Linked DNA regions of Nothobranchius furzeri. The protein of the gene in region 1 purifies or fractionates together with the protein of each later gene. This does not show direct contact. Links are inferred from orthologs where the notes say so. Each region holds a gene or a part of one and is shown on either strand. Other genes may lie near its edges.

Region 1 (5,129 bases):
CTGAACTACGTAAAGATCGTTCTCCACCCAGATACAGAACATTCAAAAGGTGAGTCAGCAGTACTTGAGCTGTTGCCTTTCTCTTTGTTTTTTTTTTTAAAGAAAATAGCTCATTGACTTATATCGGCCTATTAACATTTTTTCAGGTTGTGCGTTTGCTCAGTTTAAGTCTAAAGAAGCTGCAGATGGTTGCATCGCTGCAGCACAGGATGAAGCGGAGGTAGGAAATCTAATATAGATTCATTTGTAACCTTTTCCTTTGTTTTCTGTTACTCTTTGACATAATTGGTTGAGTTGATGTTGCATCTTTGTTCTAATGTAGAAGGGTGGCATTCGTGTGAACGGCAGAAAGCTGTTGATCGTCACAGCCGTGAGCAGAGACGACGCCACGAAGCTGAAGGTGGATCAGAAGAAAGTACAGACGGGCAGCAGGAACCTGTACCTGGCCCGAGAGGGATGTGCGTGTGTCATGCTGCTTGTTTTTCACTCATCTCTCTGATAATGTGACACTATTTTAATCTGATTAACAGTTATGCTGAAATGCTTCAAAATTTTTTTTTACGTTCTTGTCTGAATCCTCAGTGATCCGTGCTGGAACCAAGGCAGCAGAGGGCGTATCTGAGTTAGACATGATTAAAAGAACCAGAGTGAGTACATGCCACACATCATTTCTTGATATGAACGATCAGTTTCAGTCTTAAATTCCCCCTTTTTCCTAATTGTTGGTGCTTTTTTGTTTAGTTTGAGGAAGTAAAGAGGGCTAAGCTTCGGGACATTAACGTGTTTGTGTCGAAGACTCGTCTGTGCATCCATAACCTGCCCAAGTCGGTGGACAATAAAAAACTCAAAGCGCTCTGCCTCCAAGCTCTGAAAGGTGTCAAAGGAGCGTGGATCACAGAGGTGAAATTACGGAATGTATTTAAATTTTAAATATAGATTTGTGATCTTGGGCTGATCCTGTGCTGCTTCTTTTAGTGCCGAGTCATGTACGACAAGAAGCCAGAGAAGGGTCAGGTGACGGGACAGTCGTTAGGCTACGGGTTTGTTCAGTTCCGGGACCATGAGCAGGCTCTGTGCACTCTGCGCTACCTGAACAACAACCCTAATATCTTTGGCCCTCAAAAGGTAGGTTTGTATCATTTTTAAATTACGTGTTTAGGCTTAAATTATTCAATTTTTTTAAAACATCATAGCGATTAATTTGCAAAGTCAAAATATGTCATTTTTCCTCCTTATTGTAAATCAAAGATACAAGAACTTGTGGATCTACCCATGAAATCAGCATCGTTAGTCTAAAACAACTTCATGTTTTGTGTTTTCCTACAGAGACCAATTGTTGAGTTTTCCCTGGAGGATTCAAGGAAGCTCAAACTCAAAGATATCCGAAAACAAAAACAGAAGGTATGTTTTTAAAGTTGTTTTGGGATGGTTTACAGCTTCAAATCTCAGTTTCTCAATAGAAACATTTATGTTTGCAGGATTTCCTAAAAACTCGGTCTCTTAAGGGGGAAACAAAGAAGTCCCAAATATCTGCAGAGGTCAAAACACAAACAAAAGGTGGAAATAAAGCACAGTCAGAGCACACAGGTAAGGCAGGAAGTGGAACAGAGGAATTGTCCAGTGACGTTTGTGCTTCGGTGACATAACATTCCTAATATTTGCATAAGATAATAAATCCATTCAGTCGTTGTGCAAAAACTGTTGAAGTGGTTTGAAATTAAAGCTCTTGGTCATCGTTGTCTAAAATCAGTTTAAAATAAAAAGTTGGTAAACCCTTATTATGTTTTGCTCACTTTTGCAAATTTTTTACAAGTGTGCACGTCACATGCAACTCGTCTTTTTAATAATGAGATAAATAAGAGTCCACATGGCATTAGTAATAATTATATATTGTTTATTTTCTTTAACAGAAGAAGAGAAACAAATGAAAAAGTTTTCAGGTTTTCAGACCAAACCTGAGGTCGAGCATGTGGATTTACAAAATGGAAAGAAGCGCAGGAGGGTTCTGCCTTTTCCTTCTCACCGGGGACCAAAGATCAGGTACATAATTTCTAAACTCTTTATAAGTTTGTGTTTATCTTTATAAAACTCTCAATAAATACTATAATTGAACAGCTTTTATGAAGATTTTACTAAGATAAATCTGTTTTATGTGTTGTTCTCTCTTTTGGTCTACATGCTGATTACAACAGACTAATGCATTCTAAAGTCAAAAGTAAACCGTTGATTTTTATTCTTTGCAGAAAACGTGACAAAGACAGGAAACAGGCCCCACCTGCTAAGAGTCCAAAGCCTGGAGCTAAAAAGAACAAACAACCAAGACAACAAACAGAAAAGCCGAAGCAACCCAGAAACCAGGTTGAAATCATTTCTATTGTGTGATTTATGTTTAGTTTTTTTCTGAGAGCGTCATAACAAAACATGTAACGCACAGGTTTTCCAACAGTACATTTACCAGGTATCAAATCATAAATGCTTTTTGGCTTTTAATGTTCAGATTAGAGTTTAAAATTGAAATATAGTTTGTGACGGTTTTTTGCTTCCAATCCGAGTCGTTTGATTTTGAGTCTCTGCCCCTACCGAGTCCCGATGCGATACTTTTCAGCAAAGCATTAAAATAAGAAGTAAAGAGGTTTTTTTAGGAGTTACACTGATAGACAAACATGTTAATATTATGAATATATTTAAAAGTAGCAGCATTGCTCATATTTCAAGTTGTTTAATCCCTCAATATATGGATGTACTGAGCGATGCACGTTTTCATAATGGCGCAGGAGCCCGGCGCCATGCCAGCAGGGTAACGTTTTCCTGCAGAACATTTGTAACCACCGTGGGCATCTCAGGTGCTACAGGGGACTGGGAAAACACAATGCTTAACAGCCTGTTGGCAATTGTTCTTTGATTATTAGCGTGTCTTTCACTGTCGGCTGGCTCCACGTTCATCGCAGTGAACTGGGACTGTTATTGGGAAACTGGGACTTAATGGAGACTGGTGATTTTCTTTGGTGACACCTAAAGGGAAAAGCTTAAAGGGAAAGTAGTTTGTTTTGAAGGCGGCGTATCAGATTCATAGTGTTGAACGCAGCTCTACATTTTCACCAAATTAAATGCTCAGATTGCACACATCACAAGTGTCTGTGACACTTCATCTGAGGCCAGTTTAAAACGCCACCAGAATAAAGACATTTTCACGCTGCTGAGGAGACACGTTAGCTCTGCGTTAGCCAGCTAACAAGCAACTACATGTTATGGTGTCTGAATCCCTGTTTGCTGTAATCGTGTGATGTTACAGTGTTGTTTTCGTCTAAGAAACAAATAATATTCATGTAGAGGAACTTGTTGGAAATAAAACTAAATCTTTGTTATTCAGTTTGAAAATCTCTTAATCAGGATGAGTTTTAAAAGTCATGTTTGTTGTTTTAAAAGCTCAAATACAATCGTTTAAAATCTCACGATCGGATCTGAGCATCCCAAGTTCAAGATGTTACATAGATTAAGCCTTAAACACACACCACTAGTCATTAATTACAGGTAGTTATCCACTAACTGTTTGACGGGTTTATAGAAGTTATTCATTTAACTGAAAATCACGGATAAAATAAAAATCTGGAATTAAAAAGTACAGAAAATGTTTCTTTGAAGTTTTTTCCTTTTCTCTTGAATCATCTTTAAAAATATTGAACAGCAAAATTAATCTTGAACTTTCTATGGACGAGTTATCTGATAAAAGTAAGCTTAGCCATGAGAAGTTTTGTTTTTCAGATTGGTTGTGTGATGCCATAAGAATGTAAATATTCAACAACTAGACCATTTTAATGGATAATTTTCAAGATTAAAAAATTGGCAATTAAGTAGATTTTTAGTTAATTTAATTCCTTAAGTGTGAAACCTTCTTATTTCTTCTGTTTTGTGTGTTTTCAGGTCAAAGTTGCTAGGAAGCAGTTTAAGAGGAGGGATGGAGACCGTTTTGAGTCTCTGGTGGAGCAGTACAAAAAGAAACTGATGGGCAGCAGCAGCCAAAACAACACAGTTAAAAGAAACAAGTGGTTTGATAACTAAATACCAGAGTTTGAGTGAGAATAGTGGTCTGTAACTTTAAGATTTAACAACACAAAACCGCTTTTATGTGATAAACTGTACAGGAAGTTATCTCCATATGTTATGTTTCATTCAGATCTTTTCAGTGATTTTTAAAGCAGTGTCAGTGTTTTACCCGTCACTGCAACAAGTAGATCATGTAAAAATGAGTTTTTGTGTACATGTCTTTTTAAAATATATATAAATGAGAAAAAAAAGTCATTTGTTTCCAGGTATTCACGTCATTTATTATTCACGTTATTCTATTGATCCGTTTACGTGGACGTTTTCTACACAACACCGACAACGAGGGTTAATATTGCATCAGTTTTGTTGCAAAAGTTACATAAAACAGAACCAATTGAAGAAAAACATATTTAACCTCTTTGGTTTTAAATAGTCAGTTTGGAGCACATTGTTATTGCACAATAGGGAAAGTTGCCCTTTATCCGACTGGTTCCTTTGGCTCTATACAAACACATCTGCTGATAATAAAACATTCCCACCTGGATCACTGGAAAGTCCAGGGATGAGAGTCCTGCTCACATAATTTCCTCTGCGGTCAGTCTTCTTAGTGCTGAATCATCTCAAGTTGACTCAACAGAGGTAACATAAGACATATTCACAAATATCCTTATGTGCAAAATATATATTAAACAGATTAAATATTGCAGTTATGTAGCTAAAAAACAGTTAGGTGTTAAAATACACAGAATAAATAATTTATGTATGAAAATAAGTGCATGTTTTTCCAAAACCTTGTAAAAATATCACTAAACTCAATTCAGACGTTGATCTGTGTCCATTTTTCAGCATATTTCTAGAAGATCCGGGTTTTTGCGTAGCTGACCGAGGACCTCCTTCACTCTCATAAGAGCCACGATGCTCACAGTGTGAACGAATCGTTTTTGGTTCTGCAGGTGCTGAACGTTGGTCGTGCTGTCCGTTGGTACCAGAGGCTTACTTGGCTGGTTCCTGCAGTGCTCCAGTCTCCACTGATTGATGTAATTTGTCAGATCGGAGATTTCAGATTTGACTTGGGCGACGCCATC
Region 2 (4,858 bases), on another chromosome or scaffold:
GCCCAGACACCCTGCGGAGAAAACTCATTTCAGCCACTTGAATTCGTGATCTCGTTCTTTCTGTCACTACCCAAAGCTCATGACCACAGCTGAGGGTAGGAACATAGATCAACTGATAAATCGAGTTTCACCTTCTGGCTCAGCTCTCTCACCACGACAGATCGATAAAATGCCCGCATCACGGCAGACGCAGCACCAATCCCCCTATCGATCTCATGCTCCATCTTTCCCTCACTCGTGAACAAGACCCTGAGATACTTAAACTCCTCCACTTGGGGCAGGACCTCATCCCTGACCCGGAAAAGGGATTCTACCCTTTTCTGACTCAAGACCATGGTCTCAGATCTAGCTGTTGAACCTTTTCATTTGGAAACAACCTTATTTTTGCATAAATACTGAATCTGGTATGACCAAATTACACACGGGCAAGTAAATTTTAAATAAAATGCATCAGTAGGTACCTATGTCCAGTGTTGGGAACGTTACTTTAAAAAGGTAATTAGTTATAGTTACTGTTTACTTTGTCAAAAAAATAACTCAGTTACTTACCGAATTACAAGATTATAAAAGTAACTAATTACCAAAAAAAAAAATTTTTGTTGCATTTTTTCATTAAAGAATGCAAGATAAATGGGTTCCCCTCTTAATTAAACTTACTTAGTTTACTATAAATTACTACAATACTAAACTATAACTGACTAATGACTGGAACATAATAAATTATATGTCCAAATGTTTGTTATAAAACTGGATCATTTAAATAAATGGGCTCTTAACAGGAGGAACTACAAACAGGAATATTACACCAATCTAGAATATTAAAATGTCACTGTGTGATATTTAACCAGACCCCAATCAGCTAAAGTTTATAATTGCAAACAGAAACACCTGTAAAGGTTACTGAGCCTTTAAATGGTCTCTCAGTCTAGTCAAATTACTGTAATAAATGTAATTTTGCAAAATATTCTCATTTTTCCAGCTTGACATGATTGTGTGTTTTTAGCAGCATTTCTGTTGCTGGTAATCTAGTAATGGTTAAATAAATAAATAAATCCTTTAAAATGGCACTAGAAGTGGCACAAATCTGATGGAGGACTTAAATTTACTAATTTGGATCAGACCCAAACACAGAAGCTGGGTGGTAAAGACACACAGGTAGTTCTAATAACACCTGAGCACCATGACGTCTGAGACTGATGCATCAGTGTTACAGCAGGGCTAAAGAAATGAGCAGAAACAAGTTACAGTTGGGTGATCTAGGAAGGTAGAAGATCGTGATGTCCGAGCGGTGAACAGGTGAGCGGACCTTCGGGACGTCCCGCTGTCACGGCAAGAAGGGCACGGCTGCAGATTCACGCCTGCAGCAGCGAATCTGCGGATCTGCAGCCGTAGACTATTCATCACGTCTTCCTCGTTCTTCACGGGTCGTGATGCACTTGGATTAAAACATCCGCCTCTTCAGCTCCCGAGCAGCTGACAGCTTCAACACACCACGCTGCTGAATTACTAACGCTCGCATTTTCTTATCAGTAACGTAAACGGCGTTATGATAAAAGAAGACGATAATTAGATTACTCGTTATTAAAAAAAACTATTTTTTTAGTAATGCCGTTATTTTAAACATTGTTATTCCCATCACTGCTCGACTAGATTTTTTTATTTTACTTCTTTTTTTATTTCTTAAAATGTGTATACATAGAGCAGTTGCCTTGCAGCAAGAAGGTCCTGGGTTTAGTATTTATTTTGATACTCAGCACAGTCTATTCTAGTACTTGTGGTTCTAGTCATAAATCCAAAATTTAAGGAATGAATTTGGAATGGGTGTCCACCAATGACTACACTTTAGCTTTTAGCGCCAAACTTGAAAAAATTTCCTTTTAAACTTTAAATGTTTCACACAACGTGTGGTCAGTCATATCCTGGAAATAAAGTCCTGTCCAGCGTTCACACTAGAGGAAGCTTGTTTTTACAGCTACTCACCCCTCAAAACACTTCTCCTTCACCAGCATGCTCTCTGTGTCTTTGCTCTGGTGTTTGCCCTGTTTCCTCCTCAGGATCTCTGCAGCTTCTGCTCCCAACGTCTCCTCAGCATCATCAGGATCTACATCATCGAACCAAAGATCGTCCCTGCAACAAAACACAATAAAGAGTTAGGAATACAAAACTACTCTGGTCCACAATGTCTTCTAAAATCAGTACGGTGTACACACTCTGTAGGCTTCCTCTCCTCTACCACTGGTTTATTCCTCTTGGCTTTCTGCTCGCTGTTGGACTTTCCTTTGTCCCGTTTCCTTTTAGGAGCAGCTGGCTGCGGAGTGTTGGAGGCAGCTGGAACATCAGAGTTCACCTCTGATTCCTTTTGAATGGCAAATTTAGGAGCAACTGTGTGCTTGACTTTAGTCTCATTGTCTTTTTCACTGGGAGTCTTGGGAATATTTTTTAAAGTTTTCTTTGGAAAGACATTCTGTTTGGGTGACACAGGGAGCTTCTTCTCTGGCTTACTGGCATTTAGCATCTGTGGAAGGTTTCAGAAAAATCAGATTAACTTTGTAAATACACACCAGCATCACACTGATGCACAGACAAACCTCTTGGAGAGCTTTCCAGTTAGAGGAGAACTGCTGAGCCTCCTCTGGAGGTGTAGGCAGGTGAGGTTGGTGCTTCTGAGGAGCTGAAATCTTCTGAAATTTGTTTTTCGAGTTGTGTTTTATCCAAAACTCCTTCCTCTTAACTTTAGCTGTGGATTTAGGGTCAGAATGTGCTTTCTTCTTCTTCGCCTTAGACATTATGGAAAGTGTTTTTTAACAAGAAGTTGTTAAACTAAACGTTGTCAGCCATGCTGACATTTCAAAAACAATAGACAATGGCTGTTACCGCTGTCACTTAAAGTAATGTCTCCTTACCAAAAATCTGCATCAAAAATAAAACACTAACGTAAACAAGCAGCTCATTTTTTACAGAACAGCAGATAAACGTGGTTCTGCGTTCAGTTCGCAAATTCCGAAGCCATGCTGCGTTCGTTTTCCCGGCTGAGCAACAGCCAAATGGGTCCGATATGAACAAGACATCCCAGTATGAAACGTTCTACATAGTTTGAAAGCACTCTAATATTCAAATGTTTATTTTCTGTAAATATGTACTAAATCATATAAATTAGTAAATCTTCAAACAATTTAATTTGATGTCATATTTTTGTCTAGTGTATCAAAAGCGGAACTGCTTACCCGGGAAATTTTTCCGACCGAACTAACGCTGGTGCAAACTCGCAGCTGTTCTTAGGTTTTGTTGGAAATGTTTCCTGTTAGTATTATTTTAGAAATCCAGCTTTATTTACTCGTTATTTAGAAACGTAGGGGCACAAATGTTGTGAAAATTCGGAAATTTTATGAACTGAGGTAAGATGACAGAAGTATTTAAGGATGTTTTAGACTCTGGTTTGTGTTGCTTGCTTATTTCCTCTGCTTCCTGTTTGGTTTCAGATCATGGTTGAAAACTCTCCGTCTCCTGTCCCCGAGAGAGCTATTTATGGGTTTGTTCTCTTCCTTGGCTCACAGTTTGGTTTCTGTAAGTCAAAAATAATTATTTTATTCTGTTTTGCACACACACACACACTAGAACGCATCTTTTAGGTGACAGGTCAAGACTGTTCTTCCTGTATAAAATCAGAAGTAAATGATCTTTATGTTTACCTGTAAATGTGTCTGTAGTGTTTTGTTTTATTTTTTATATTCATCCTAGCTAATACACAATCTTACGTTTGTCTTGTGTTTTTAAAAGCTGACACAAGTAAAGATGGAAGACAAAACACAGCGGTGATCTCAACACTTTAAAGGATACACCTTTGTTAATTTTTTTTCACAACTCCCATGTGTGGTGTCAGGGTTAGCGTCCAAGCAGCAATGCCCCTAAAACAAAAACAGTTCTATTTGTTTGGACATCTCTGCTTTTGTGGCAGCTCTTTTCTACCTTTATGGCAGCCATCATATGACTGATTGACCATGTTTAAGTTTAATTATTTAGTGTCCGTGTTCAATTTAAACAAATGTTCGACTGTTTAAAGAAATGTTATTTGATTAAACTCCTAATCACACATTTGAATGTGAGGTTAGATTATTTCTATTAGAAGAAAGGCTATTTATTATGATAATTTAGCTTCTCGTATGTTTTATTCCTCAATGCACATCATGACCTGCTGACATAAATCAGTGCCTGCAGTCTCTTTAAAGTCAAATGCTAGCTATAGTTTCCCAACTCACTGAGTAATTGTGATTTAAGGGACTGAAGATAAATAATAACTATATTTCTCCTCCCTCTCCACAGTTCTGTACTGCTTGTGGGCATTTATACCAGAGGAGTGGCTGCATTCAATTGGACTCACATACTGGCCTCAAAAGTCTGCATCACCTTTAAAATCCAGATCAGATTTCCCACCGACATTTGGCATTTGGGATTTCTAACAAAAACTCCCTGTTCTGCACAGATACTGGGCTCTTGCAATGCCAATCTACCTGCTGGTTGCAATATCGGTGTCATTTTTGGTGTTGTTTGGGATAAACATGACCAACACTGCTCCACTGGACTCTGTGGACAACATCACAGGTGAGGTCTGATAGCATCCCAGCTGTTATCTATGAAAGGAATAAGTGTCAAATAGCAGTTTAAAAACTAAATATTTAGTGTACATTTTGTCTTGTTTTTGTGTTACAGATGTATTCGCACAAGGCCAGAGGGCCGACAGCGACTGCAAAGGCGGAGTTCCTCGACTTAAAGATGTGTCCGTTAGTGAGGTCAACAGAATGTTTTATTTGTCCCCTGAAACATAATTGATAAACTGAGTTGTTGGCAGAGTAAAACTATC

What was found. The genes of interacting proteins can lie anywhere in the genome.
Region 2: the proteins of rbm28 (region 1) and rexo4 purify together in Homo sapiens (affinity purification with mass spectrometry; 3 studies listed by BioGRID and IntAct, with this or other methods). This does not show direct contact. The link is inferred for Nothobranchius furzeri from reciprocal best matches to the Homo sapiens genes RBM28 and REXO4.

The regions. Positions count from the first base shown.
Region 1 is NC_091744.1:71,909,945-71,915,073, reverse strand, and holds the end of rbm28 (RNA-binding protein 28), read left to right. Parts: coding exon 1-49; intron 50-146; coding exon 147-220; intron 221-322; coding exon 323-458; intron 459-582; coding exon 583-647; intron 648-741; coding exon 742-900; intron 901-975; coding exon 976-1,125; intron 1,126-1,326; coding exon 1,327-1,401; intron 1,402-1,478; coding exon 1,479-1,587; intron 1,588-1,910; coding exon 1,911-2,040; intron 2,041-2,243; coding exon 2,244-2,358; intron 2,359-3,921; coding exon 3,922-4,059; 3' UTR 4,060-4,299; downstream 4,300-5,129. Other genes in the region: leptin-like, read right to left, coding at 4,887-5,129. UniProt on the Homo sapiens protein: Nucleolar component of the spliceosomal ribonucleoprotein complexes.
Region 2 is NC_091756.1:33,914,865-33,919,722, forward strand, and holds the start of rexo4 (RNA exonuclease 4), read right to left. Parts: upstream 3,028-4,858; 5' UTR 2,787-3,027; coding exon 2,589-2,786; intron 2,516-2,588; coding exon 2,211-2,515; intron 2,128-2,210; coding exon 1,981-2,127; intron 1-1,980. Other genes in the region: pigp (phosphatidylinositol N-acetylglucosaminyltransferase subunit P), read left to right, coding at 3,483-3,564, 4,321-4,393, 4,481-4,599, 4,708-4,823.